Linked DNA regions of Arabidopsis thaliana. The protein of the gene in region 3 interacts with the protein of the main gene of each other region in a pairwise test. Each region holds a gene or a part of one and is shown on either strand. Other genes may lie near its edges. The genes, in order: FBH2, NUC, AT3G49950 and IDD5.

Region 1 (7,089 bases), on a different chromosome or scaffold from region 3:
CATTTTTTTGGTTCATGACTCTCTCTTTAATTTTAGATATTTAGGATAACGACGTCTTTTAACGTATGAAATAAATTGTTGTATGAAAAATAATTTTGACGACTTTCTCATTTTGGTACCCGCAAATTTACTATTGTTTTTCGTTTATCTTCGCTGCATTAGTTTGTATAGCTCTTCTAAAAATAAGATATTATATTAAAGTATATTCATAAGCTTATCTACACTTTCTTTTAACAACTCATATTTTTCTCACATTCTTTTCAATATGTATATGAATTACTATCTTCACAATTTTTTACAAAAAGCTACCACTCTCTCTATTTTTCTGCAATCACTCGTTTTATTTGTTTTATTTTTTCTTACAGTTTCTCTTTCCATCCTCTTATAATTTTGTCTAAACAATATGTGCCATACCTTCTAAACTTTTCATATGCTCCATATTTCTTCTTCGAAAATCTCTTACTTTTCTTGTTAGTATAAGCATTTTTTAAGCTCGTCAAGATGTACTCTGTTTTGTTTTCTGTTATTCTAAGAAAATGTTTTACCTTCTAAACTGGTACTTAACTCTATCACTTTTCTCTTTTGATGCAGTTTAGATCCTTTTCACCTTCACGCTTTCCAGACTGAAAGACCTCAATTTATATCTTCGAGAATTTGATTCAAATTGATACGATTAAAAACACCACTATCAAACCACGTCATTGTTACGTTTCTTTAAGTTATATTAAAAAATGTTGGATTAGTTGTATAAAATTCTAGAAAAATTCTTTCTAATGCCCTTTTCATTATGCCCCTTTTTAACTTTACCCTTTTTTTAGCCATTTTCATTTTTACCCTCTTTAGCCATTATGACCATTTTACCCCTATTTGAAAATTGTTTTAGGTTAACAAAATAAAATATTAATATTTTTCGCCTAAAATATCCAAAATAAATTTCCCGCCAAAAAAATTCGAAAAAAATTACCGCCAAAAAGTTTTTTGTCAAAACTAGTTTTCTCGCAAAAAAAATATTTTTTGGCGGGAAATAGATTTACAAGGGATTTTAAAAGGGTTTAAAAAGATTTACAAGAAATTTTAAAAGAGTTTTAAAAGATTTACAAGGGATTTTAAAAGGGTTTTAAAATATTTACAAGGATTTTAAAAGAGTTTTTTAAAAGATTTACAAGGGATTTTAAAGTGCTTTAAAAGATTTACAAAGCTTTTTTAAAGATTTTTAAAGGGTTAAAAATTGTTTTAAAAAGGTTTTAAAATATTTACAAGGGATTTTAAAAGAGTTTTAAAAGATTTACAAGGTATTTTAAAAGGGTTTTAAAATATTTACAAGGGATTTTAAAGGGCTTTAAAAGATTTACAAAGGTTTTTTAAAGATTTTTAAATGGTTTAAAAGTGTTTTAAAAGATTTACAAGGTATTTTAAAAGGATTTCAAAAGATTTACAAGAGATTTTTAAAGATGTACAAGTGTTTTTAAAAGATATTTAAAGAATTTACAAGAAGACCCTTTAAAAACTCTTGTAAATATTTTAAAATCTTTTAAAATCTCTTATAAATCTCTTAAAATACTTTTAAAATCTCTTGTAAATTTTTTAAAACCCTTTTAAAATCCCTTGTAAATATTTTAAAACCCTTTTAAAATCTCTTGAAAATATATTTTTTCCCAAAACAATTTTACAAGGATTTGCATAATCATTTTTTTGGCGGGATTTTTCTTTTTGGTGGGAAAAAAGTTTGCCAGAAAATTTTTTTGGCGAGAAAAATAAATTTTTGGTGCAAAAATTTGGTGGGAAAATTTCAGTTTCTAATTACATGTTCCTATTAGATGAGGATAATTTGGTCATTCTGTTCAAGGGAAATGGTATTTTTAAAAAAGGACAACATAAAAAGATATTGTTGCAAAAGGGTAGTAAAAAAAGAGTAGTTTTGCAAATCTCCCAAAATTCTGTAAGGGTTTAGGTTTAATATTATTTAATTATAATTATATTGCTTCCTTTTTTATAAGTTTAAATTTAATATTTGTTATTTTCGTTTTTTATTTTAAATTTTAAAATGGAAAGTAATTATTATTTTTAAAAATGTTAATTAATTAGATGTTAAATATGTTAATTATTGATGTGACAGCTTCCGATTAGTTGTTTTAAAAAATGTTAAATAATTAAATGCTAAATATGTTAATTATTGATGTGGCAGCTTTCGATTGGTCGTTCTAAATCCTATGTGGACGGCTTTAGAAGCAAATAGCCTCAACTTTTATATAGTATAGATTTTCAGTTTTTGGTGTTCAATTTTTCGATCACCGGTTTTGATGAGATTGAAAAACTCTGTGGGAATTTTTTATGGCCGGGCAACCCGAACACCACACGAGTTGTAAAAGTGCTTTCAAATTATTTTATTTATTTTATAAACATTTAAATCTTAAAAATAATATATGAGAATTAAAATTAATAAATAAAATTTTAACCATAAATTAAAAACGAAAGTAACAAAAAAAATTTAAAAAATGAAGTAATTTTTTTTTAAGATTGTAATATTTTTTTTAATAGGATGGTTTTTTATTCTTTACTTTTTTTCACCAGCGACCATTTTATTAAGTTAGGAGAACTAATCCGGAGTCGATGTACTTACATGAAAAAGAAAAAAAACTTCGTGTTCTTATATTTTTTGTTAGGCAATCAACACAGACATTGTTACAACAGAGAATAACTCTAATATAAAATAAAGACAAAAAATTTCAAAAGCTTTTTTAAAATATTGTAATTCTTCAAAAGCTTTTAAAATGTTGTAATTCTACAAAGCAGCTCAACTAAATAAAAGTTGCATTTTGCAGACATACGAAGTCGCTAATTTTTCACATATCGGAATTGGACCGAGAAGGTGGAAACTACGCGCCTCCATCGAGAGTGGTGTAAACCATAATCTATTACATAAAAAAAAAGATAACAAAAGAGACGTTAAAGCAATGTTTCTCTGTTACGCGCTGACGCATCTCTAACCTTTTTAGGTTCTGTACTATCTTTATCTTTTAGTCAAGTGTTAGAAAAGTATCTTAATCAGACGGTTAGGGTTCTTTATTATTACTAGCCGCAATTTTTTTATTGAAACAAATAAATAAAAAAATAACCCAAGAACAACAACAATCTGGTCTGCTGATGTATTAATTAAAGAAAAAAATAAAACAGAGCAAGAAACAAAAAAAAAAATGTAAAGAAAGAGAAAAAAAGCTTTCGTAGTGTCTATTGAAACCAGAGAAAAGCCAAAGGGGATGCAACCAACATCCGTCGGTAGTAGCGGCGGTGGTGACGACGGAGGAGGCAGAGGAGGAGGAGGAGGGCTAAGTAGAAGTGGACTATCTCGGATCCGTTCAGCTCCAGCGACTTGGCTTGAAGCTTTACTTGAGGAAGATGAAGAAGAGTCTTTGAAACCTAATCTTGGTCTCACCGATTTGCTTACCGGGAACTCGAACGATTTACCGACAAGTCGCGGCTCGTTCGAGTTCCCGATTCCTGTTGAGCAAGGGTTGTATCAACAAGGTGGGTTTCACCGACAGAATAGTACTCCGGCGGATTTTCTTAGTGGTTCTGATGGATTTATCCAAAGCTTTGGGATTCAGGCGAATTACGATTACTTATCGGGGAATATCGATGTTTCTCCGGGAAGTAAGCGGTCTAGAGAAATGGAAGCACTCTTCTCTTCTCCTGAGTTTACTTCTCAAATGGTAAACCAAAATTAGTTCTTAAATTAGGGTTTTCTTATACTTGCCAAAAATAGGATGAACTTAACTGACTTATTACTTGTTTTAGTTAATTTGCTGACCAAGTTCTCGAGATTGAAAAGACCAGTCTTGTCTTAAAATTGACAACTTGTGTTTTTCTGAACCAAACTAAGCAAGTTGCAGTTTCTATTTTAACTCAAAAAAAAAAAAATGGCAGTTTTTGTTGTTGGCTCTGTGGCTTTAATGTGTCAATGTGAACATTAAAGAATGCTCCTATGGGTAAAGTGTTTAGAAGACCATAAGTCCACATGATGATACATACTTCGGTGGTTAATGTGTACAAATGTATTGATTCTCCACACCTTTTGGTACATTGGTCTACTTAGTATTAAGTAACTACACTTGATCAAAATTTTGGGAACATATGTGTTACCTATGTGTTGATTAAGGTATTAGTGCTGATTTGCGCTTTTTGGAATTTTTTTCTGTAAGTAGAAAGGAGAGCAAAGCAGCGGTCAAGTTCCTACCGGAGTATCAAGCATGTCGGATATGAACATGGAGAACCTTATGGAGGACTCTGTTGCTTTTAGGGTTCGGGCTAAACGTGGTTGCGCAACTCATCCCCGCAGCATTGCCGAGAGGGTAAACAACATTCAATCTTTATTTTCAATGTTTTGGAAGTGTAGTGATCAAGGTTCTCTTAACTTTATACATTGAAGTTTAGTGATACAACTTATATCTTTACTTTCAATTTACGGATGTTTAATGATGCACTGTATGCTTCATTGAACAGAGGATTGTTCTGTTCTGGTCAGTGTATATTTATCTTTACCTTTCATTGTGTAGGTACGAAGGACGCGGATTAGTGATCGGATAAGGAAGCTACAAGAGCTTGTACCTAACATGGACAAGGTAATATAATTTTCAGCTTAGGTATAATCTGATGACCTCGGTTACACAATTATATTGACTAGAAATAGGTCAAAGATTATCTATGCTTAAATCAAGTGTAGAAGTTAGAGGTCAAATTAAATATGACTGTTAATGGTTGTGATGCAACTTCAGAGACACGGTTCTCAGCTCTGTAACTAAGTAATTCACAAACTGTGGAATGGATCTTGATATGGACTTGAATTGTTGTCACCTCGATCAAATAAGTATGAACTTGGTTTCCTCTCTATAGATTATGAACAAACTGAGGAAAACTTTTGGTTTTGGTATATATGGAGATTTGGAATCTAGGCTTTGAGTATATCGGTTAACTTTTTTGTCTTTGTTGCAGCAAACCAACACTGCAGACATGTTAGAAGAAGCAGTAGAATACGTGAAAGTTCTTCAAAGGCAGATCCAGGTAAATTATCTAAGTTAATATATATACACACAAAACCTTTTAGAGGAACCCAATAGATGAATTAAAAATGATTAGTCAACAGTATATAGTAAAAAGAGTTATGAGTTGGTTTATTTTGGTGTGGATAATATAGGAGTTAACAGAAGAACAGAAGAGGTGCACATGCATACCTAAGGAAGAACAATAAGGTTTGCTCCTGATTTGTTTTATATTTGCTTAACGGCAATGATCTGATCGAAAAATTCGAAAGATGATCTTAGCTTGAATTTAGATGGATGTCATGTTGAAAAGTATATTATTTGATAAATGGATGTAGGTGTAATATAAAATTTTTGTACAATAATGAAGAAAGTTAAAAAGAATTAATGAAAACATATATTCTTTATGATATTAGTGAAATGACTTTGATTTCATGTTGTTTGATTATAGTAAAGTATTTTCAAGATGTGTATTACAGTGTTTTTAAAACTCATTCATACAGTTACAGCTAACATACTAGATTACTAACCATCATGGAATAAGATTGCTTAGTGGTGCAACCAATCCGCAACGAGTTTGCAAACGAGGACAGAATTGCTCGATGTTTTGTCGAACCGGCAAGATAATCGGGTCTTTGTTTATTGCAGTGTAGATTAAATCTTATAGCGAAAAAGGGTTAATCATCTTACTAAATCCGCTGCAATCAGTTTCGAAATAAATCATTCCGCATACCGCGCTACCAAAAGTAGTGTAGTGTCAGGAGTTCTTAGTGTAAAGACATGAAATATATTTGAAATCCTTTCAAACCAATTAGATGAATCTGGTTGAAGCCATCAAATTAAAACCAAACTGGCTGCACATTTTTGTTTTGGTTTTCCATGAACCATCAACTTGAAAACAAAGAACAAGGGAGTTCAAAACATAGAAGGGATGATAAGCTCTGGAACGACTCCCATGCCTTCACCAATGTACTCTGCTACACCTAATCTTGGACTCGCATCCACGCTTTGAGTTCATCTCGCAATCACAAAATATTTTGTCAAGGATCTGGTTTCTACATATTTAGTATTGTTATCGTTCCTCGCTTTCGAGTTATACCAAGCTAACCAAGGGTAGAAACCACTATGTTCCCTTGTTCCATCTTGATTTCGAACTCTCCATAATAGAAAGTCTAAATTCGTGAATACGGAATTCGTTGGGAACACCACATGTGCTGATGGAACTGAGTCACTATTCTAGACTCTTTGTCTCAGCTACGAGCTAGTCAGAATTAAGAGTATATTTTCCTACTCAATTAGATCTTGAATTTTTTCGGTTTATATTCCACCATTTAGCCTCCTGGTCAATCAATGAATCAACTCTAAAATGGGGATATCAATCTTGTAATCAACCAAAAAAATAAATTCTTACAGTAAATTATGAAGATGATTGTCTTTCTATTTTTTCTTTTATTGTCCCGCTATAACATTAATCAAACTATAGCATAGCACCTATCATCACACGGATTGTTTCGTCCCATTCAACAATTTTTGGGACTTTGCCTACAATTTTGCACTCTCAATTCTCATTAGAAAAAAGAAGCCTGAAAATTATCAGAAACATCTAATTTCAATAAAATTGAGATGAAAAAATAACTAGCTTGCTATAGTTCAAAACAAAATTCATAGATGCAAACAGAAGAAGATTCACAAAACATCCAAAAAGACGTAGTAGAATAACGCTTCTCTTTAATGAACTTCACATCCGCCAGGATTTCAGATGACCGCTCGATAGCTTGGTTGAGAATCTTCCTCCTATGAAAAAGAAACTCTTCAGTCTTCTAGAATCTTCTCCAAGCTTCTAGACTCCAAGCCAACCGCCATAAACTGACTTTACGAATTTCCATTTGTTTGCTCCACGATGCTCTGTTTTCTTAAACTACTTTGTGAGGTACTTTGACTTAGTACAGAAACTCCTTCAGAGGTTGCATCTTCAACTGAATCATCAAGCAACCATCACCAGATTAATTGAAGTAAAAAAGGCTCGAATCAAACCAAATCAGCATTTGTTATT
Region 2 (7,496 bases), on a different chromosome or scaffold from region 3:
GTATGTTGTTGGAGTATACCTAAAGAGCACGTGCATGGGTACACGTGCATGGCAGGCTTTGTTCGACTTCGACAAACAAGAGATGTGACCATAACCGTTGGATCTGTTTTACCTCTTTCACATATTGTGAAAAATTCTGATTCATGAATAACTAACAAAAATGACTATGTCCGTATATGATATCTGATGGGAGTGAATAGTGATCCCGTTAACTGTGTATTTAAACTGAATACAACTATTGCAAAGAAAAAGGTGATAGATAAAGTTATAATTTTCTTATTGATCACTAATGTCAATCAATTTTTTTAATACATTGTTTTGTTACTTATACTGCATACCTTCAAATTAATAAGCATTATAGAGATTGTGCAATTGATAAATCAGATTAATGTTTTTATTTGTTGGCAAAGCAAATGTATCTTATTGTAACTAGATATACATTACAATACTTTGTAAACATAATTCATTTAAGATAAAATTTACGGATATATAAAAACATATATATATATATATATACATATAACAATTTCTTTATGCTATCTGTATCAAAGTACTCCTTGAATCCAAAAAGATTAACTACACTCCACTACAGCCTCATCATTCTTTAGGCAGATTGATCGATGCATTTCGTATTATATACTCTACAAGCTTGAAAAAATCACAAGGCGTACACAATTTTGATCTCCCAGTAGTTTGTTTACATATGCGTAAAGCCCTTTCTAGTGCCTAATATTGTTGTATCTAGATTTTTGTTTATTTTTATTTTATTTTTGGCAAATGAACCTTTGATGCTACGAAAAGATCTTCTAATAAACTGTTCCTTTTGGTAAATAACTTCACATTTTATCCCCAAAAAAACATATAGAAAGAAGTGTAAAAAATAAAATAAAAAACAAAAAAAATATAGTAAGATTGTTTTTTTGCACTGAGTTAACATGAGCATGTAGGAACAAAAAGTAAGTAATTATTGGACCCAAAAAACCAGAAAAAAAAATGGAGAGGAAAGGGCAACACAAAAATAACGAGATAATCATTCTCAATAGAAAAGATAGAAATATCAACTTTCTATGTGTCATAACGCACTACTACAACAAAATTACTTCGAATATCTTGGTAATTTAATTACATTTTTTAACAGCTCGCTTCGAATTTGCAAGGCTATTAATCGATTTTTCTAAGATTTAATATAAATGAAGCATTTGATGCTGTATGATGCATAAATACATGATTATCATTTGTGAAAAAATGTAATTAAAATTACTCTTAGCAAATACCATGTCTATACAAAACTAAGGATGTATGAACATGAAATAAAATGAATCAAACTAAAAGAAAATTGTTTATTATATTGAAATAATTCATAGTGAAACTGCAAACATAGGGTGCCTATAAAGTAATCAAGGGATGTTAAATTTTTTCTATCTCTGCATTTTGAAATTTTATTGGCTCTGCTGCTATCACTTTCAGCTTATGATTTTCCACCGCCATCCACTTTGCTCTTTTAAAATAATCTCATAAAGGAAAAGAAAAATACAATTAACCACATATTTTAATCAAAATGGCTGCAACAGTTTAACATATCAAGGTGCTAATATACCCACACACACACACTTATATATAGGAGCTAATATAGAGTGGTATAGGTTAAGACAAAAGCCATATATAAGTGGAGAACCCAATATATCTTTGTCTTTGTTGTTTTTTCCTTCTCGTTCATAGTTAACTTGCAGATTTCTTAGTATTTCTAATCTTTTTCTTATATTAACCTTTTGTCTCCTTCTCTCTCTCTCTCTCTCTGAACTATACAAAAACCTACTTTTAATTTCTCTTCCAAGAAGTCAAGAACCCAGAAGAAGACATGACAAGTGAAGTTCTTCAAACAATCTCAAGTGGATCAGGTTTTGCTCAGCCACAGAGCTCATCAACCCTGGATCATGATGAATCTCTCATCAATCCTCCTCTTGTTAAGAAAAAGAGAAATCTCCCTGGAAATCCTGGTAATTATTTATATTAAATCTCAGCTAGCTTGATCATCACCTAAAAAGAAAACCCTAGTATCTTTTCTATTTTTTTGCCCCCTATAAATTAATTTTCTTGGGTTGTTTTGTTCTGGATCTTGACCTAAATCAAAAGTAGTATTTGGCTGCATGAGTTATAGATCACTGGCTCATGCTTAATTAATGTGAAAATACTAGGCCTTTTAGTAAATTAAAACTTTTATTTGATCTATAGAGTTCTTCTTTTTTAAATCGCATTATAGTTTCCATGAGAAAATATATTTACATACCCTTTATTATTATTACCTCCACCAAGAAAAGCACACACATTATTTTTACTAAAGTACATGATCCGATCCAAAAATAGATGTTGTTTTCCGAATTGACCTAATTAAAGAAACCACAAATGTTAATGATGATCCACTTAGATCCGGAAGCTGAAGTGATAGCTTTATCCCCCACGACCTTGATGGCTACGAACCGGTTCCTATGTGAGGTATGTGGCAAAGGTTTCCAAAGAGACCAAAACTTACAGCTTCATCGGCGAGGACATAATCTTCCATGGAAGTTGAAGCAGAGGACAAGCAAAGAAGTGAGAAAACGTGTCTACGTTTGCCCCGAGAAGACATGTGTCCACCATCACTCCTCTAGAGCTCTAGGCGATCTCACTGGAATCAAAAAGCATTTTTGCCGGAAACACGGGGAGAAGAAGTGGACGTGCGAGAAATGTGCTAAGAGATACGCAGTCCAATCTGATTGGAAAGCTCATTCCAAGACTTGTGGTACTAGAGAGTACCGTTGCGATTGTGGCACCATTTTCTCAAGGTACACTTTTTTTTCTTTCTCTGTCAATTAAATTAAAAATAAGCTTCATGTATATATGTGTTGTCGTTTGTATTGATCATGTTCGAAAGCTATTCTATAGTAGCTTTATAGTATCTACATCTTCGTTTTTGTCAATATGTAGTTTGATTAAGTTTTATAAGTATGTTTTGTCATTTCCTATGTGTTTGTTTATCTCTTTTGAAGTAGGGTAAAGTTTCTTGCTTGGGAAAATGTTTTTGTTAGTGTCATGATTGAGGCAAAAAGTGGTATAAATTTATAATAACCATGATGAACATATAACATAAGCTAGATATAATAATATATACAAATAATGGAGTACTTCATGTGTGTATGGTTCAAAATGGTAACATTATTTATTACTTAATATGCGGAAAAAGTGTCAACACAAGATTGACACATCAATAGTTATGTTACGGAAATATGTACTTAGGTTTTTCTCTACTTTTACTGCTGCACATAAAGAAAAGGCAGCTAAATGTTTTCAAGTATTTTCATCAGTTAAAACTTTGATATAAATGCATTGAGATAAATGTTGATTAAGACGTTAACTAATGGTGGTTTTGGTTGAAACAGGCGAGACAGCTTTATCACTCATAGAGCTTTCTGCGATGCCTTAGCGGAAGAAACCGCTAAGATAAACGCAGTGTCTCATCTCAACGGTTTAGCCGCGGCTGGAGCCCCAGGATCAGTTAATCTCAACTATCAATATCTCATGGGAACATTCATCCCACCGCTTCAACCATTTGTACCACAACCGCAAACAAATCCAAACCATCATCATCAACATTTTCAGCCACCAACTTCTTCGTCGCTCTCTCTATGGATGGGACAAGATATCGCGCCGCCTCAACCGCAACCGGACTACGATTGGGTTTTTGGAAACGCTAAGGCAGCGTCTGCTTGCATTGATAATAATAATACTCACGATGAGCAGATTACGCAAAACGCAAACGCAAGTTTGACCACTACCACTACTCTCTCTGCCCCTTCTTTATTCAGCAGCGACCAACCACAAAACGCAAACGCAAATTCAAACGTGAATATGTCCGCGACAGCTTTACTACAGAAAGCTGCTGAAATTGGCGCTACTTCTACAACAACCGCAGCGACCAATGACCCATCAACGTTTCTTCAAAGTTTCCCGCTTAAATCCACCGATCAAACCACCAGTTATGACAGTGGCGAAAAGTTTTTTGCTTTGTTCGGGTCTAACAACAACATTGGGTTAATGAGTCGTAGTCATGATCATCAAGAGATCGAGAACGCTAGAAATGACGTTACGGTTGCGTCTGCCTTGGATGAATTACAGAATTACCCTTGGAAACGTAGAAGAGTTGATGGTGGAGGTGAAGTGGGTGGAGGAGGGCAAACTCGGGATTTCCTCGGGGTTGGTGTACAAACGTTGTGCCATCCATCGTCTATCAATGGATGGATTTGAAAGAGTTTAAAAATTTCGGGGTTAATGCATAAATTACGTAAAAGAAGAAGGAATCTTTTGTCATTTCCACCATTTTCTAAGATAACATATGTATATGGTAATGGAAGTTGTTTTCTTTTATTAATTCAATATTCTAAAACTTATGATATATGTATAATGAATGTGTTTATCTTCAAGATATATGTCAATGACATTCACAAGACATTCATAATCTTTTGAATTTTTATCATACGGGAAGTACATTTTAAATGTAACCTTAATTTTTGTAAGTAATTACATAGGTATGCCATTAGAAATAAAATTTTAAAGAGTAAATTAATTTATCTCTATAAGGATTAAAAAGTCAAATACTAATTTAATTAATTAAATTAATTAAAAAACGAAATACATTATTAATTTTCAAAAATAATTGCCAATCAAAATCAACATATAAGATTTGATATCTAAATTTTAATTAATTTAATTTAATTAGAAAAACGAAATACATTATTAATTTCCAAAAAAGTAACCAATTAAAATCAACAAACTATATTTGGTATCTAAATTATCATATTAATTTTTTATTAATTATTATAGTTCATTTCTCATCTTTATATGATTCTATTTTTACGGAAAAATAATATCATCATTATAAAAAAATAATTAGAGTTTTTTCGCATATGCCATAATTTAAATTTTTAAAAACGAATATAAACTGTTCAATACATGAAATAATATTATAACGGGTGAAAAATATATTTAAGAAAACTTTCTACTGAGTAACGAGACATAAATTTGAAATATTTATATTCAATTTCATACATATTATATTGAAAATTTATAATCTTATATACTACAATAGTTAATAACATATTAGATGTGATTCAATTTTTAATACAAGCTGGAAAATCCTAGAATTGACGGGTTTATATCGATATTAATACAAGATGGTATACTACATGTGAAACTCTTAAATTAATAATCAAACTACAAGTGTATAATCTTAAACACTAAACAATATAGATAATATCAACAAAACATATACAACTCACAGTCTACTATACATTTAAAATCAAATAAAATAATATCATATATTTTTAAATCATCTTTACAATAAAAGTTTTTAGTTTAACTAAAATATAAGCCTACCTGCGATATACTGCAGATTAATCTCTAGATTATAGGACTTATTGGATCTAAAGACGGGTCATCAAAGATTTCCTAAACTGAAGCAAAATATACTGAATATTCAAATATCTATCTGTTACCAAATTATAAACAAATAACTCAATTTGATATTTTATATATGAAATCAACTAAATCTTAATCACATAAAATTAGCACAAAAAAAAAGTATTCAACAATTAAAAAATTATCAAATCTCTGTGTTATATAAGTTTTGATACTATATTTGAATAAAGTGTAATATACCTTTTTAATTTGTATTCTTTAACTAATTTAAGCTAACTAATATATTTGCTAATCTTATATCTATCAAAACCGACTATCGTTTCTTATCTCTATAGTATTTTTGCAAGACTTTTTTGGTGGATTTGGATAAAAATACATTCGGGTCATATGGTACATTCCCCTATTAAATAAATATGGTGCACTCCTATGTTATTAGCTAAAATATTTAGATTATAATTTATAGTCATATCATTAATAAAACTAATATTAATAAAATAGATAACTTTTTGGCAAGACGGATTTGGAGGGACGGGTTTTTGAATCAACATTAATAAAAAAGTAAAATATAATTAATCCACCGTTTCAATATGGATTAAATTTTTAATTTATTATTTTTTGAGACCACTAATATTAAACATATCAAATCATCCTAATTTAGAAAAAAATATATAGAACCAAAAATGTTATGTGGTATGTATAATGTTACTATATATAAAATTAAACTATAAAATATAAATGTATTAGAGAATGATACAATTTGCAAAACTTTTATATATAAAAAATAATTCTAAAATTATAAAAATTACTACTTTAAAAAAAAATCATGGGACGGGTAAAAAAATTACAGAACATGTTTTTTTTTTGGAATTGGGTTATATGGTGGATGTATTTGAATCAATATTTATAAAATTTTAAAATATTATTAATATGCTGTTTTAATAGGGGTCAAAACTTCAGTTTTTTTAACAATTGTCTCATGAATTCGTGGTATAACGTTACTTAATAACAATTATAAACTGTAAAATATAAATATTTTGTAAAAATAAAATTTGCAAGTTTTAGTATATATTACTTTTAAAAATAAATCGTCATGCGGTATACCGCGGGTTAAAATCTAGTTTTCTTTTAAGAGGATACTAATATAACAATTATTGTAAGACAATAACCACAATGGTTTATAATTTTATATTATGATGTAACCTACTTTAACGTTTTTCGGAAAATTTACTATAAATAAAAGTTTTCGTATTCAAAATCTCCCCTTTGCCCCACTCATGTTATTTTTCGCATCATGTAAATGACATTTGACTCAGCATCTCTATTATATTCATCTTCGAATTTCACTATTTATCTTATTCTCCTAAACAATCAACTTTATTGAATCAGGGTAATAATTAATTATATTTATAGTGTTCAACTCTTTTTCCATGGGATGCATTGTCTATTATATTGAAATCATATAAATGGGAAATGGTGTAAAGTTTGAGCATCGTCATTTAACCCAAAACACACATAAAGTTAACTAAGTTGTATCATCGATCAAGAGACTGATTCACGTATATATTGGGTCAAGGAATAAAGGAATTCAAAGAAATAATCTGGTTTTATAAGCATATTCGGTGCAGAAGATAAAGTGAAGATCCATGCATATTCTCCATTAAAGAGTAAGAAAGGTCTTTTCTTCTTGTATGCAAGAATATACAAAAACAAAAAGCATAGATAGAGTGGAGAAGTGGTGGCTGTGGGGACAATGAAAGGTGGAGACTTTTGAAGCTCAATTATTAAAATCATAACCCTAACTCGAAGGCAAAAATTTTATACTTTATAGTGGAGGAAAAGAATAGGAAAAGAGAAAAAAGCTTGATATTCCTAGCTTAGGCTTTTTCCACCTTTTATCTTATCTCCCTTTTGCTCTCTCATGAAGAAAATTAGATTCAGTCAAATAAGAAAAATAGAAATTAAAAATTCTCCAAAACACTTTTAAGTTTTCTTCAAAATTTATCGACAATATAAACAGTGGCGGTTCAAAAATATAATTGAAATGA
Region 3 (6,385 bases):
GTGGTGATCCAAGCTAAGAAAGCCCTTGACTCTAACCCTAGTTGCCGGAACAAGGTCTCATGTGCCGATATTCTTACTTTGGCCACCCGAGATGTTGTTGTTGCGGTGAGTATTTGTACTAGCCTTACTATAACCAGATAATTAATCCTAAACAAAATTTCACATTAATATTAGTATATCACATTGCTTGTTTAGAAATGTTTTATATAACAAGGTTTTACGCATGTATAGGCTGGAGGACCGTCCTATGAAGTTGAACTTGGTAGGTTCGATGGTTTGGTATCAACCGCGTCAAGTGTCGAAGGGAACTTACCAGGACCTTCGGACAATGTAGACAAACTTAATGCTCTTTTCACGAAAAACAAACTTACCCAAGAAGATATGATTGCTCTTTCAGGTAAACCAAATTTAAATCAAAACATCTTATATAGTTATATGTATTTATATCACCAAGATGCATCGATGTCTAAACCGATAAATTCATAATGTAGCGGCTCACACCCTTGGATTCGCACATTGTGGCAAGGTCTTTAAAAGAATCCACAAATTCAACGGCATCAACTCCGTGGACCCAACTTTAAACAAGGCTTACGCTATTGAGCTTCAAAAGGCTTGTCCTAAGAATGTGGACCCAAGAATTGCAATCAACATGGACCCAGTCACGCCCAAGACGTTTGACAACACTTACTTCAAGAATCTTCAACAAGGCAAAGGTCTCTTCACCTCCGATCAAGTTCTCTTCACGGATGGTCGCTCTAGGCCCACCGTTAATGCTTGGGCCTCAAACTCTACGGCCTTTAACCGCGCTTTTGTGATAGCCATGACCAAACTTGGCCGTGTTGGAGTTAAGAATAGCAGCAATGGAAACATCCGTCGTGATTGTGGTGCGTTTAACTAGAGCTGGTAATGGGAAAATATAAGTTGTCTTATCTCCTATTTTCCTTTCGTTTTATTAATGTTTGAATGTTCATTTTGACGATGAGAAGATATTATTGGTTTTTCATTTGTTTTGTTTATGTCTTCATTTTAAGAAGGCAATTGTATCTGATCCTCTCTACTTTGTATCTCCAACATGTTTATTCTCGCTACAAATTTAAATAACTATATACTATTCAATTTTTCCTATTATAATAAGTTTTCACTGTTATCACTAAGCCTATTCACGGAAAAATATCTATGTAAACTAAAAGTGCTTATGAAGATGTAAAATATGTTTAGTCATAATAACGATTATTTTTCAACGTTAGAATGTTTTGAACTAGTACAAAACAATTGACACTAGATTAGAACAAAAAAAAAAGTTAATAAAAAATATTATTAAATTGTAATTAGATCAGAAATTAAAGCAATGCTATTCTACTATATTAGGTATCCAATTAAAACGCTAATTAAATTAAATCAACCTGATTTAAATGGGAACCCAAACGGTAGCAAACACAACACTATGACCTTTCCACGTCAGCACGAGACTCTCGTCGTCGTCTTCCTTCTTCATTCCCCACCCGACAGCGTGCTCCTCCAGCATCGCCTTCACATCCGCCACCGCATCTTCTTTAACCCTAACTCCACCGAACTCAGCCTCTCTCATTCTCTCTATCCACCGTCTCTTCGTCTCCGTCCTCTCCACTCTCTCCGCACCTTCCTTCGCCACCACGTTTTCTATCTTCCAACTTATCTCCGCCTCGTACCACCGTCTCTGCTCACTCATAAACGTGTCCGTCGTATCGAACGGAATCCAGAAGTAGTTAAACGCCGATTTTAACCGGTTAACCAAGTTCTCCGATGTGAGATCTACGTCTTCTTCGATTAGGGTTACGATTCTTGGATTCAAAGATCGGAGTTGTTTCAAGAAAACTGTTCGGAGCGATGATGATGATGAAGTTAGGGGTTCTTCAGGGATGTAACGGAGCATCATGTGACAGTTAACGACGAGAGCTTCGTTGAATGAAGAAGGATAAATCCGTAACTGTTGTAAGAGGGAGGAGAAGCCATCGGAGTAAGTAGAAGGTACGATTGTGAACTCCATTGTAATGTTTCGTGTGGTGGCGAAGTTGACTAGTTTAGATCCGAGTTCTTCGTAGGAGATGTTGATGAATGGTGGGAAGTGGTCGGAGGAAGAGACGACGGTGAGTTTAAGAAGCGGAGGAGGTTTGTTGAGTCGGCTTGCCATGGCGTCTATAAGAGTAGGGATTTGCATACAATGAGTCAAACTTAAGTCAACGATGTGAACCGTTGAGTAACCTTCAACGGCGGTTAAGATCGCGGCGTTGGCTGCAATGAATCCGAACCGGTGCCACGGAGTGAGGTCTACGAAAGCGGCTAACTCCACGACTGAGAAACGATGGAGTTCATCGGCCTGAGGTAGGAAGCTAATGGTGGATGATAGTGTAGGGGTTTTGGAGACGGCGCGTGAGAGCAACGCGCGGAGGAATGCGGATGTAAGACGTTGGGTGGAGTCACCGTCTGGTGGAGCGATGTTGTTGAGGACCCAGAGGATTTGGTGAGTTAATGCAGCGTCGTTGGAGTCTATGGCGGTGGCGCAGTGAAGGAGGAGCTGTTCCATGAAGTTAGCGTCGCCGCAGCCACGTAAGGGTTTGGGAGAAGGGAATCGGGTCGGGTTGAGAATCCGGGTTTTGGTCATTTGAGTCTGGTTTTAGAGAGAAATGTACGTTTAATCTTGTTATTTTTGTGACACAAGAGGAAACAAAAAGAACAAAAAAAGAGTATAGTAGGGTGGAGACAATGACATGTCCATGATTTTTACGTAAAAGTATTCTGAAAAGTGAAAAATAGAGTGAAAGGAGACAAAGGAGAGGGATGAGGAAAGAAAGAGACGAGACAATAGAGAGAGTCGTGTAAGTATGTCGTAACCTTATCATTGGGAAACGCATCGCTTTGGTCGCTTGTGTTGTGTAAGACAAATATTTGCAAGATCAGCTTTTTTCAATGTATAGAAGATGTGCATATTGCATATGTGTTTATGTATCTCTATACATGTGCAATATGTCTTAAATAGCTAAAATAAGGAATCTTTAGTTAGGTCGGAGGGTGCATTTTATCTCCTATTTAGAGAAAGCATTACATTTTTTTAGTATGATTCACTCGAGTTATTGTAACATAAATATGAACTAGAAGCTGATATTTTTGTTATAGAAAGTATGTATGTGAAGGGGGTGCTTAAAGGTGGGTGACATGTGAAGTGGCAGGTTTGTATTTATGTATATATGTACGGCCGATCAATTTGTCTTCTAGGTGACGATTATTCTCTTTCGCCGCTCTATCGCATTCATCAATAAATCACTGCATACACTTTGGAACAAAAAATAATTTAAATTTATACCTCCATGAATTTGGTCCGTTTGTATGTAGCATTTGGACGTTATTTATTTTATTAAACTCAAAATATGTTTTGAGTCTTCAGATATAATTAAGAAGAAGATTTATTGGCCTTATCTCTTGAGATATATATAAGTCATATAACAATAGACTGATAAAGAAAAGTTATATAGCATTAGACTAAACAAAATGAAAACATGGACTAAACAATCAAACGGCTCCTATGTAGGGATAGGATAAGTATAGTGACAAATCTCATTATCATTATCAGTTTTTTTTCTATGCCTTTGGAAGTAGGTTCATTGCGTATTGGGTATTTTAGGCGCAATATGAAAGCGCTCACAAGGCATGATATTTTCAAGAAAATTGGTTGAGAGATCAAGTACCATCACCTCCAGGAGACATAGACGTTGGGCAGCCTAATGATGTTGTCGCTGTGATGAATTTAAACGAGCTCCATCATAGTTATTGTTGATAGAGATCTAAAATTCCTTCTGGTTCATCGGGATTTTGCCTCGCAAACCTCTGGGCGCACTATAAGGGTTCACAGAGTTGGCTCATAATCAGAATTTTTTCTGTTGATTTTTGCGCATGAAACAACGTGAATAACTCCTCAACGATATTAGCAGCCATCACAAACATCAGAGTATATGCCATTAGCCTCTCCTCTCATAACCATATATGAAATAAACAAATAAGCATACTAATCTCTAAACCAAATTGAACAGAGACATAAAAAACAGAAGACTCATGAATCTTGACCACGTTCCGAGAAATGTCCGTAGATCGATTATGAAAACAAGAGTAGAAATCCCTAGCTAGTTATATTAGGTAGACTTGATAACGCATAACACTTTATTTATTCTGCTTCACCTTTTCGCTAACACTATACACTTTATAGTCCAAGTTACCTTCACGTCTTCTCCTTCACGAACACGTATATGTTTCTCTGTTTCATAAAACTTAAAAACCTACTTGAAACCTAAGGTCTTTCCGTAAAGTCTATTGGGCTTCATCAAAATAATACAAAGTGAAAATTTCCGGCCCCATGGTTTCAAGCCCATTTCAATTACTTGGGGGGGGGGGGGGGGGGAGGGGGGTATTGGAGCAATGAATTTGACGGAATTTATTAGAATGTTGATTCTAGTGTTATTCAATTAGGCATTTTATAAATTCTTTTAAATTCTAGTATTATTCAGTTTCTCAATTTCTTAATTCTACTAAATTCAAGTGTTATTCAATATTTTGTAATTTTTCATGACAACGTCATTTGTCAAGAATTTAATAAAAATATTAGTGCAAAATGCACAAAACAAATTCTTACCTTTTAAGTTGTGATTTGGATGAAAATATATAAGGGGCCTCAAATTGTCGTATAAGGGCATGTTCGATCTAGTGGAAAGGCTAATAAGCTGCTAATTTCCCCTTTTGCACGATTAATAAGCCTATTGTTGGTATTGTTGATGTTCCTAATTCTTGTCTTCAAGTACTCTCCAAACTTTCAAGCCTAAAATGTTACTGGTTCTCAGAAAACGGTTCTTTGCACCATAGAGTACTCTCGTCATTGTGCATAATCATCATCGACGCCCTTAGCTGCGGAGATAGCTCTCGTTATCAACGTGAATTCCGAGAAGAATACAATGAAGATGTTTCGAAATCTACAATGATCACAGAGGATTTAGCGAGGAAAGTGGAGAAGCTATGGGATCTGTTAAACTTAGTAGTATTGAGAGTGGTTTTGAGACGAAGAAGAAGGAGGAAATATTGCAGATTTTGAAACGTGTGATTAGAGATTTACAAGTGGAGACTGTGGAGAAGAAATAGGTCCGGTTGTTAGCAAAACTGAATTATTAGTACTTTTTTTAATTCTATTACAGTTCTATTCAATTCTAATAAAATAGTGAAAATGTAATCGTTAGAATTGAAAACAAGATTTGAAATCTTTTGCAATGAGTGAAAATCTGTAATTATGTATCCAATTCAATTCAATTAAACTCTTTGATCCAATACCCCCCCCCCCTATTTATTCATTTATTAGAAATTTGTAGTAATTACTGATTTTTAAGCAAAGTAACTAGGTAAGAAACTAGAAACCACTTGTTCTTCGACTGCCATTACTCTAAAATAGTTTGGTCGAGCCTCACCTCTAAACTCCTAGCTGCAAAATTCTCTACCGATAGGAACGTGATTCTAAGGCTGCTCACGGACAACACGCTTGATAAGGTTCGCTTATTTCTACTAAGATATTCTTTTCAGATTGTAATCTACTCAATTTGGAGAGAAAGAAATTGTAGAAGACATGGCGATAAGCACACTCCCCCGACTCAACTAATGAGAAAGCTAGACAAGGATGTTAGGAATAGGATATCTTCCCTAAAAGATCAAGGAGATGGAAGATATGAGAAGCACATGACAGTTTGGTTTGCAACAAGATAAAGAGGCCGAGTTCTCTTTTATTTTTTCAGTGTCTGTAACTTTAAAGCGATTAAATTTCCGGTGCACTTGATGTAAACATGTTTTTTCGAATAAATTTTACATTTTATTCAAAAAAAATAAGCTAGGTAAGAATATGTGCTATGTACTGATAAATCTTATGCTATATAATTTTATGATAGAATAATTTATAACTAAAACTCAAAGTTTTAATCCAAAAATGTTAAAACCAAATTTTGTAAGCTAAATATTTTAAATTAAAAAGCTATATAAATATCATACAATATATAAAAATTCATCTATAAAAAAAAGTTACAAATTGAATTTTAAATATTTTAATGAATTATATTATACAAAGAGAATTGCATTTACGTCATTCAAAAATTTAGACTTAAAGATTTGTGATTTTAATTTAAAATTTTATAATATATTAAGGAATCTTGAAATCATTTTTTAAAGATATTTTATATATTTTTTAATATATAGAAAATATTACAGTTTACAATCATGTACATTTGATAAAGGATTATTAAAAAAAAAAAAAAAAGACGAAGAAATAAGGACCCTATGGAAAAGGAATGAATAATTAGATCTCATTTTCCTGATTGGTCCAATT
Region 4 (10,366 bases), on a different chromosome or scaffold from region 3:
TATGTATAATGTTACTATATATAAAATTAAACTATAAAATATAAATGTATTAGAGAATGATACAATTTGCAAAACTTTTATATATGAAAAATAATTCTTAAATTTTAAAAATTACTACTTTAAAAAAAAATCACGGGACGGGTAAAGAAATTACAGAACGTGTTTTATTTTGGAATTGGGTTATATGGTGGATGTATTTGAATCAATATTTATAAAATTTTAAAATATTATTAATATGTTGTTTTAATAGGGGTTAAAAACTTCAGTTTTTTAACAATTGTCTCATGAATTCGTGGTATAGTGTTAGTTAATAACAATTATAAACTGTAAACTATAAATATTTTATAAAAATAAAATTTGCAAGTTTTAATATATATTACTTTTAAAAAATAAATCGTTCCGCGGTATACCGCGGATTAAAATCTAGTGACCATTTATTCATAAAGTTTTTCACTTCAAACACTCTAAAATATAGAATTTTTAATGATATAATAAATTGTCAATTTTTAAGCATCTTTTCATGATATTGTTGTTAAAATCAATCACTTCAAAAATTCAAATACGTTTCAAAAATTCAAAAAATCGAAAATTTTTATATGTTTATTACTCTTTACTAAATTCAAAAATATATGCACCATCTTTTAATATTTCATGATATATATTTTATTTTTAATGATATCAATCACTTCAAAAATTCTGCAATTATTTGCTTTAGTTAAACTAATAAATATACTATTTTTAAAATATTTTAGTATTCAAACAAATGTTAGTTATACTTAAAATAAATATAAGAGATTTATAAAATCTCAATGACTTACACACAAACAAATTCATAACTGTATTTCAGATAGCTATAAAAGATTTATAACCTCGCCATGACATACACGTAGACTAATATTTATTAGTCAATAAAAAAATTCAACAGTCATTATGGAGAAATTTTTTAAAAGTAACTTATAATTGACAAATATTGATTTTTTATTATTTTATTTTTAAAATTCCTTAGTTTTTTAATTTGAGTCATTTTACAACCACCACTTTTAAAAATAAATAAGAAACCCCTATGCTTATTAAAATTTATGTAGTCTAGTACTCTTATTTGTTTAAAAATATATATATACAATTAGCATCAAAAACAATTGGAAAATTATAGTAAAAATTATTGGTTTAAAGTGGTTAATAAAAATTTTGATATCTTATGGATATATTATCTAATCATTTGATTGACCTATATATGATTGCATTTGATATCTTACTACATTGGCTATATATCTTTTCAAAATTTGCTAAAATCTATTAGGAAAATTGTCATTGGAACTGATATTTACATGGTGTATATATGAAATGGTTGATTTGTTAACAAGCCAAAATTAAGAGTTAGATTTAAAAAGTAAACGAATTGATTGGACCAAATTAAGGGACTTATTCTGTGATTTTTTTTCATTTTCTTTTGTTCTCACACTTGGAGGTTAAACTGGTAAATACTAAAATAACTAATTATTTTATTATTATTTTAAAGTAATTTAATTTATAAATGGTAATTAAGTCTAACACCTTTTGTCCAGTTATACAATTAGTCAATAATTTACTTTCTTTGAAAGTAATTAATTAAAGTAGTTAATGATTTTGCAAAACTGCCTAAATAACACCTAAATTTATTCTTAACCCATCTATGTATATGTTTACTATGTATGTATATATATTTATATATATATATATATATATATATATGGCCCTCTACTTCATACTTAGAAGCAAGAAGCTCATAGAAATTTACTTCAAAAATTGACCTCAAACGACAAGCTAAAAGAGGTGAAGTTCTTTTTCCTATCTTTTATTTTAAATATGGCTCTGTTTATATATCTATATTTATATATTACTTACTGTTGATTTGAAAGAAATTTTCTATTCGAATATGTATGTGAGAGGAAAGGATATGGTTCAAGTGTCATTGTTATCGGGAATGGCAAATTATATTCCTTTCCTCAAAAAATTTAGCATAACAAAACTAATTATCCATCATATAAAAACAATCACATCGTATTTGTTTTCTATTGTCTTATGCTAAACAAGTTTTATATATAACTCATGCTCACGTTAACGAAGACCCATACAAAAATGGGTTGATTTTCTTGATCTCCTTCATTGGAGAACATGACTGATTTTCAATAGTCACTAAAGTATATACATAGATATATACTATATAGTTGTTTTTGATATTTTAAATGGATAAAAAAAAAGATGACGGGATCTATCATTTGGGAAATTATTCATAGATTTATTTAAATAGTTCCTAACTAATTGCTTGAATATGGGAAGAGACGACGAAATATAGTTAAAAAATTGGAGTATCCTTTTTGGTTTTTACTTTACCATATACATGAAAAATATATACAATCATTCTTCTTTTTGTCTTCTTTTATCTTTGGAATATTTCTTTTCACATTCAATCTTCCATGACACACAGACAGACATATATATATGTGTGTATGTATGATATGATAGGAACTTTTTAAAACCAAAAAAGAGAGACCCATATGAGATGATGATGACGATTGAGACAAATAATTATTTTGACAATTTAAGAAAAACATAAGATGCTTTGTGGATTAACTTTTGAAAATTCAAGAAATCTGTCCCTATATATATGAAAACATTAGCTTTAGAATACAATTTTATGAGATTTATTTAGTTTATAGTTTATAGTTTTAAATTTATATTTATGTGTTATTAAAATTGTAAAATTATATGAAAACATAGTCGCTTAGTTTTACAACCGCTAATTTATTTCAAACTCAAAATATTATATTTTTATTCCTTCTTCGGTTACGTATTTTTCTTATGAGATATTATATGGTCAAACATTTAAAATTAGTTAAATGTTACATACACACAAATTCCAACATTTTCATTTCTTTTTAAGGAAAAAACCATTTCATTTCTTTAAGATATATAAAACCAAAAAAATTATGTTTTTATATAGCTTAGATCGTGATGCTAAACTTTTCTTGTAAGAGCAATCTCGTATAGATATTTTATGTTAGTGTCAAATATCTTCTTCTACAATTTCTAAAGTCATATTACACTATGGTAATTGTTTTCTAAACCCTTTTAGATCCAAAAAAAAAAAAACTTGAAATTTATTATTCACATATGTTAGCGAGAGAGAGGAGCTGTTGAGGGTTGTCTCACGCACCATCCACTGTCGTTTTGTGGCAAATGGATTGGGTCCACCGACCTCTGTAGCTCTCATAGTTTCTTTTTTTTCTAAAATTAATTACATATTTAGAAAAAATGATATCAAAAATAATTAATAGCTCTGTATATGTGTTAGTGTCTACAGGCGACACCAAAATTATATAAATATTCTTATTTAAATGCGTTACAAACAAAAGAAAAATTATATAAAATTTTACAAATAAATGTATAGAGTTTTTAGTATCATATGTATCATACATATGAAATTAGAGCTATACCAAACTAACCAAGCTAGATTTAAATTCAGTTTGATTATCTTACCCTATTTTTTTAACCGAATATGAACTTTTAACACTCTAGGCTATAACATTGGGTGGTGACTTATATTTCTTCTTTCTTTTTACTAGCCTACACTCTTTTTCACCTGTCACTTTCAACTTCTCTCTTCTATTACCTCACAAGAATTTCTATGTTTTTTTAATAATTTTATATCTATTAAAAAAAGTATAACCAATTAATTAAAAATCTGGAATATCCCAATTTTAGGGCTTTATTGAGATAAGATATCAGTGGAAGTCAAAAAAGAATTTAATGTTAAAGAGTTTCTTCTCTCTAATTTCATTTCATTTCTCTTTTTTTTTTTCTTTTTCTTCTTTCTCTCTCTCACCATCACATAGAACACAGAAGAATCCATGGCTGCTTCTTCATCCTCCGCTGCTTCCTTCTTTGGAGTCCGACAAGATGACCAATCTCACCTCCTCCCACCTAATTCCTCCGCCGCTGCTCCTCCTCCTCCACCTCCTCACCACCAGGCACCGCTGCCACCGCTTGAAGCTCCACCGCAGAAAAAGAAGAGAAACCAACCAAGAACTCCAAGTAAGTTAATTACCTCTTAATTCAAATCTTTTATAATCATGTGATCATTTCTTAAAAGAACTTATTGATTGGTGAAAAAGATAAATCCCTTTTCCATGTCCTTTTTTTTCTTCTCCCTTTTACATTTTTTAAAATCTTGAAATAAGCAAATTAGCAAACCCTAGCTTGTAGTTGGTTTTTCAAAATTCAGATTTCAATCAATTTATCTTCCATGCAATATAAGACTTTTAAAATTTAGTTAATAATTTTCCTCTTGATTAGATTCCGATGCGGAAGTGATAGCTTTATCTCCAAAGACACTAATGGCTACAAACAGATTCATATGTGAAGTATGCAACAAAGGGTTTCAAAGAGAACAGAATCTACAACTTCACCGAAGAGGACACAATCTTCCATGGAAGCTCAAACAGAAATCGACCAAAGAAGTGAAGAGAAAAGTGTATCTTTGTCCGGAGCCCTCGTGCGTCCACCATGACCCGTCACGTGCTCTCGGAGACCTCACCGGAATCAAGAAACATTATTACCGTAAACACGGTGAAAAGAAGTGGAAATGCGATAAATGCTCTAAGCGTTACGCTGTTCAATCGGATTGGAAAGCTCACTCCAAGACTTGTGGTACCAAAGAGTATCGTTGTGACTGTGGTACACTCTTCTCTCGGTTAGTAATCCAAATCTTTCAAACTCTTTAAATTATAATTTAATCTATTGAGCTGCTATAGTGATATGTGTGTGAATATGTGTCTGTGAGTCATTCTTCATGAATTAGGGTTTTTTTTAGGTTCACTTTCTGTTTCGCCTCGAAGTCTTCGATGCTCTTATCGCTTTCTTTCGTGCAGTAAATGCAACTTTAGTTTTTTTTTTCTTTTTTTTTTTATAAAAAAAAATGATACAAGAACACACGTGAATGTGTGTGTGTGTCTATATAACTATATCTATAGATGACACTGAAACTGCCATATTTCAATAGATGCTTTCTAGCAGAAACTCAAAACCAAAGAGGACCAATTTCAATTTCAGTTTTTTTTTTAAATATTCTTTTGCCTTGGAAACACCGCCCTATTTTCTGTCATAAAAATAAATTAATATATTTTTCTCAGGATTTTTTTTTCTTGGATATGAAATTATACTTATACTATATGGGCAATTCACGTGCTGCTAAACTATATAATATCTAGGGAGGTTGTTGTTACAGTGTTTGTTCTCTTATGTGTAAAATTTTACGAAAATACAATTATTTCATATGATTCGTTTGTACTCTGTACCATAGCCACATATTAGTTTGGTTCACTACTCTACACATTTTGCATAAAATGGCATAAATTTGCATAGACGTGATAACTAATAGACTAAATAATTATTTCGAATATAGAGTTTTTTTCTCAGTCTTGGCTGGCATTGCTGTGTTTGTGTGTGTGCGTGCATTTAGAGGAGTTCTATAAATAGAATGAAGTAAATAAATATGTGGTGCTGCAAATATATATAAGTAGCTAGTTTTCTTAAATAAAAATATAAGTAGTTCATTGAATACATGCTCAACTTGCATTTATTGAACATACAAGATCTTGAATTAGGACAAACTCAGATATTCATTTGACAATCATTCTCTATACATTAGTGTGAAACTTAACTTTTTCCACCTACCTTTGGAATTCGTTGAATACCACATTAATTTATTATATAGATAGCTATATTCATAGTTTCATACATAAATTATAGTGAATTAAGCATAATAGTTTTCCGGAGTTGATTAATAATGTTTATGTTTATTATTATTGCATAAACTGATATTGATAAGAGTTAGATTTGTTCGTACACATAGTCATATAGACAAATACATCATCATAGTTGAAATGTGACACAACATTGTACTCCTATTTATGTGTATGCGTGCAATTTTATTGTATGCATCAAACATGTGAGTGTGTAAGCTTGTTAAGAGTTTACACAGGTGAATAATAATATGATGTATAATAGAGTAGTAGAGTGACTTTCTAGCCATCTATCTACTTTTCAAGATCCCATAATTACACGCGAATCTATTTGTAGCTACGTGACATGATGAGTCTCTCTCTCTACTTACATTTATATTTTTTTTCTTTCACTTTTCCCAAAATATGTCTTTTATTTCATCATTTTATATGAATAGTATAGAGATATATCTGACGATCCAATAGATTCCATTGTGAAATTGATTTTTATTTATTTTATTTTGTGTCACAGGCGAGACAGTTTCATCACACATAGAGCTTTCTGTGACGCGTTGGCTCAAGAGAGTGCGAGACACCCAACTTCATTGACTTCTTTGCCAAGTCATCACTTCCCGTACGGACAAAACACAAACAACTCCAACAACAACGCTTCAAGCATGATCCTTGGTCTGTCCCACATGGGGGCCCCACAGAATCTTGATCACCAGCCCGGTGACGTTCTCCGTCTTGGAAGCGGAGGAGGAGGAGGAGGAGCCGCTTCACGCTCTTCTTCTGATCTCATTGCTGCGAATGCTTCAGGCTACTTCATGCAAGAGCAAAACCCTAGCTTTCATGATCAACAAGATCATCATCATCATCATCAACAAGGGTTTTTGGCTGGGAACAATAACATCAAGCAATCACCAATGAGTTTTCAACAGAATCTGATGCAGTTCTCACATGATAACCATAATTCTGCTCCCTCCAATGTCTTCAATCTCAGCTTCCTCTCCGGAAACAACGGAGTTACTTCTGCCACAAGTAACCCTAATGCTGCCGCCGCTGCTGCTGTTTCTTCTGGTAATCTTATGATATCAAACCATTATGATGGCGAAAATGCTGTTGGAGGAGGAGGAGAAGGAAGCACTGGTCTCTTCCCTAACAATCTGATGAGCTCGGCAGATAGAATTAGCTCAGGATCAGTCCCTTCACTCTTTAGCTCATCAATGCAAAGTCCAAATTCAGCACCTCACATGTCAGCCACTGCCCTTCTACAGAAAGCTGCTCAAATGGGTTCAACCTCAAGCAACAACAACAACGGAAGCAACACCAACAACAATAACAATGCCTCATCGATCCTAAGAAGCTTTGGGAGTGGAATCTACGGAGAAAATGAGAGTAATCTTCAGGATTTGATGAATTCTTTCTCTAACCCCGGCGCAACGGGAAACGTTAACGGAGTTGATTCTCCTTTTGGTTCGTACGGAGGAGTGAACAAAGGATTAAGCGCTGACAAACAGAGCATGACTAGAGACTTTCTTGGAGTTGGACAGATCGTAAAAAGCATGAGTGGAAGCGGAGGGTTTCAACAACAGCAACAACAGCAACAGCAGCAACAACAACAACAACAACATGGAAATAGTAGAGAAAGAGTTGGCTCGTCGTCGGATTCCGCTGATAGAAGCAGCATGAATGTGAATACCGGAGGTGGTCCGGCAAGTACTTCACCACCTTATGGAATCCATCATGCGAGTTTCTAAGAAGATAAAAGAAGTTTCTAAGGAGAAATTTTAAAAAAGGTTTTTAGTTCATCAAAGTACATGCTATATCTTTCAGGTATGCATGTCGTCATCAAAACCCCATTTGAAGTAATTAAAATTTTAGTTGCAATTTATCTAAACTCAGTTCTTTTTTTTTTTTCTTTTGTAAAAGATTTTGCCTTTCATTGTTTATATAAAATGGATTCCCTCCTGAAAAAAACAAATTTCAGAGTTATAGTTTATGGTTTCACAATGAAGAAATTTTCATATTATTATCCGTAGATTTTTTTCTTCTTGCCTTGTGACATATTAGATACTTTAAGAAATTCAATATATTTCTGGCTTATAGTTTTAGAGTCAATGCTTAGTCTTTGTTCTTGTATGTATTATTTCTTATAGGGTCAAAGGCTAAAAACAACATTATACTAACGGGTTTAACTATAAAAAATTTGGGTGTGAATAATTGTTTTTGATAGGAAAAAAATGTTTTTTTATATTTGTTTTTGGCTGACACATTTATCGTCTTATCATTGCATGGGGCAGTCAATGAGTTGGAGAGTACAAGCAGCCTTTGCTAAGTTTTTATTTGTCTTTTTGTTTTCATTTTCTTTTATTTGCCTTTTTATTCTTTAATTTCTTTTCATTTGTCATCTTCACTAGCTGGCAATGTCACGAGTGTTTGTCCTGTGATCTCCTTTCTAAATATCTCGATACATGTATACATATACATGTCACATAGGTGTCACATGTGCATATATTTATGCATTTGTATAGTTCTGTATGTAACATGTTCCTACCATATCCTCAAAGGATTGTCCCCATCATATTTTAAATTTGACGGTCCAAAATAAACAATTCTGTCTCAACATTCACGCGTCTTCATTATTGATGCTAATTTGCGGTTAAAAGTTGTAGCATCAATTGAAACTGCATCTAAGGTACAATTTCGATTTTTGTATGGAATCGTGTATATATTAGAATACATAAGAATTACAGTTTTAGTTTTTAAATTTTGTTGTTACTATTTTTTTTAGATTGGATATTGTATTGTCTCTTACAAATATAACTATTCAAATGATTTAATAGAACTTCATTCAAGTATTTTGATATTTCGGTGTATGATGGTTGATATTTTCTTGGATTTTTAGCTAGTTTTAGATATTTTTTTTGTTAGAGATTTATTCTATTGGTGTGCGTATGTGAACATATCATTACACTATTGTGAGTGACAACATCTACAATTGTTGAAATAACGATATTAATAATGGTAATATAATGTCTTTGTCGTAATAATTTATAAGGGGAATAACAATAATAGTTAAATTTCGTATATATAATGTAGGGACATACATGCAAGTGATGGAAGTAAGGAGGCCCATCGACATGAAACGAGAGGGAGAGATTATATCGTTGTCTCACCAAAAACAGACAGCTCTTCTCTCATCTTCTTAATTTCCCCTGTTTCTTTTTCTGTTCTAAAATTGTTTTGCTTATAACCTATTTTTTTCTTGGTTAAATAATCCATGTAGAGAAAGTAGATTTTTACCATCAACGACACCCTGCTTTAAAATTAAAAGCGTAAATTTGTTATATTTTATCGTTCAATTCTATCTTTTGTAAACTAATGCACATTTACCAATTGGTTATTTTAATTTTTTTCGTCAATTTACCAATTGGATGTTTTATTCATGAATCTGAATGTTTTGTTTGTAGTAAGCTTGTGCAAAACTCTTTACAAAGAGCATGTATATTTTTGAAATTAATTGATTTTTTAGAAAAAAAATTGTTTTAAAAAATTATTTTTTTAGGTTCTCTATACACTATTTATTAGTTATCCCTTTATTATTAAAAGGGAAGTACAAATTGAAATTTTGTCTAATTTGGCCTCAATTTTGATTTTAATTTTAGATTTTGTTCTTTGCTATTTAAAATCATTAAGGATAATTTGGTCTTAACAATCTCCTAAACTTTATATGATCCGATTGAATCTAAACCGTTCAATAAAATTAATTCCCTTTTAATCTAAACCGTTCAACAAAAATAATATACAAATCATATATTACGATTCTTCACTAATCACTAAAAATTTATATTTATAAGTTTAGGATATCAAATTTATTCAAATATTTAGTATAAGAACCAAATAAACCGATTGCCCGCGGTAAATTGCGGGTTAAAACCTAGTTATTAATGAATTTTAAACTTCAAGATAAATAATTGAATATCATTGGTTTAAAATTATAGAAAAATATAAATCACAAAAATTAATACATTATTTTTAATATAATTTTTATATTTTTAATTTTTTTTTTAATAGGTGTATTTTTCTAAAAAACTAATTTAAAAAAACATAGGGAATATTGTGTTAAATCTCATTATTAAATGACCGTTTAAGACATATGTCTCGGTATTGTAAACCAATCAAAATAATTTTTATACTGAAAAGTGTTGTTTCGAACGAGTAATAATCAAATTTATAACTTCAAATTCTTAAAAAAAATATATATATTCATTATTTTCACTTAATTTCTTAAATCACCTTCTGATTTATCGATTTTATACCTTCACCAACTGAATATACTAAAAAAAAAAACAGATTTCATTAGTCTTCTTACTATACACTTCCTTTTGATAGATGTTAAAGTTATATGCCAATGGATCCAAATTTGTGATTGATTCAAATGGAATATATAAGCATATTATCAATGCATCTACTAATTAATAGTTATTGTATGGCCCAATTAAAGATTTCCCATAATGAAGTGGACCAAGAACAAGCAGAAGAAATCTCAAGAATTTTTGTAGTATTCATAAACTTTTCTCGACAATCTCTTCACGGGCCAT

What was found.
Region 1: the proteins of AT3G49950 (region 3) and FBH2 interact in a two-hybrid assay, tested with the Arabidopsis thaliana proteins (one large-scale study listed by BioGRID).
Region 2: the proteins of AT3G49950 (region 3) and NUC interact in a two-hybrid assay, tested with the Arabidopsis thaliana proteins (one large-scale study listed by BioGRID).
Region 4: the proteins of AT3G49950 (region 3) and IDD5 interact in a two-hybrid assay, tested with the Arabidopsis thaliana proteins (one large-scale study listed by BioGRID).

The regions. Positions count from the first base shown.
Region 1 is NC_003075.7:5,844,256-5,851,344, forward strand, and holds FBH2 (basic helix-loop-helix (bHLH) DNA-binding superfamily protein), read left to right. Parts: upstream 1-3,056; 5' UTR 3,057-3,257; coding exon 3,258-3,710; intron 3,711-4,202; coding exon 4,203-4,349; intron 4,350-4,553; coding exon 4,554-4,619; intron 4,620-4,989; coding exon 4,990-5,058; intron 5,059-5,191; coding exon 5,192-5,245; 3' UTR 5,246-5,508; downstream 5,509-7,089.
Region 2 is NC_003076.8:17,771,233-17,778,728, forward strand, and holds NUC (C2H2-like zinc finger protein), read left to right. Parts: upstream 1-1,623; 5' UTR 1,624-1,858; coding exon 1,859-1,997; exon of another isoform or gene 1,998-2,403; coding exon of another isoform or gene 2,404-2,425; coding exon 2,426-2,822; intron 2,823-3,416; coding exon 3,417-4,281; 3' UTR 4,282-4,517; downstream 4,518-7,496. UniProt on the Arabidopsis thaliana protein: Transcription activator that binds to the DNA sequence 5'-CTTTTGTCC-3'. Regulates photoperiodic flowering by modulating sugar transport and metabolism. Regulates SUS1 and SUS4. Transcription factor that regulates tissue boundaries and asymmetric cell division.
Region 3 is NC_003074.8:18,518,826-18,525,210, reverse strand, and holds AT3G49950 (GRAS family transcription factor), read right to left. Parts: upstream 2,746-6,385; 5' UTR 2,642-2,745; coding exon 1,409-2,641; 3' UTR 1,277-1,408; downstream 1-1,276. Other genes in the region: AT3G49960 (Peroxidase superfamily protein), read left to right, coding at 1-105, 232-397, 492-898. UniProt on the Arabidopsis thaliana protein: Probable transcription factor involved in plant development.
Region 4 is NC_003071.7:501,633-511,998, forward strand, and holds IDD5 (indeterminate(ID)-domain 5), read left to right. Parts: upstream 1-3,742; 5' UTR 3,743-3,890; coding exon 3,891-4,074; intron 4,075-4,335; coding exon 4,336-4,732; intron 4,733-6,294; coding exon 6,295-7,522; 3' UTR 7,523-7,598; exon of another isoform or gene 7,599-7,833; intron 7,834-8,065; 3' UTR 8,066-8,460; intron 8,461-8,864; 3' UTR 8,865-9,149; downstream 9,150-10,366. UniProt on the Arabidopsis thaliana protein: Transcription factor acting as a positive regulator of the starch synthase SS4. Controls chloroplast development and starch granule formation. Binds DNA via its zinc fingers.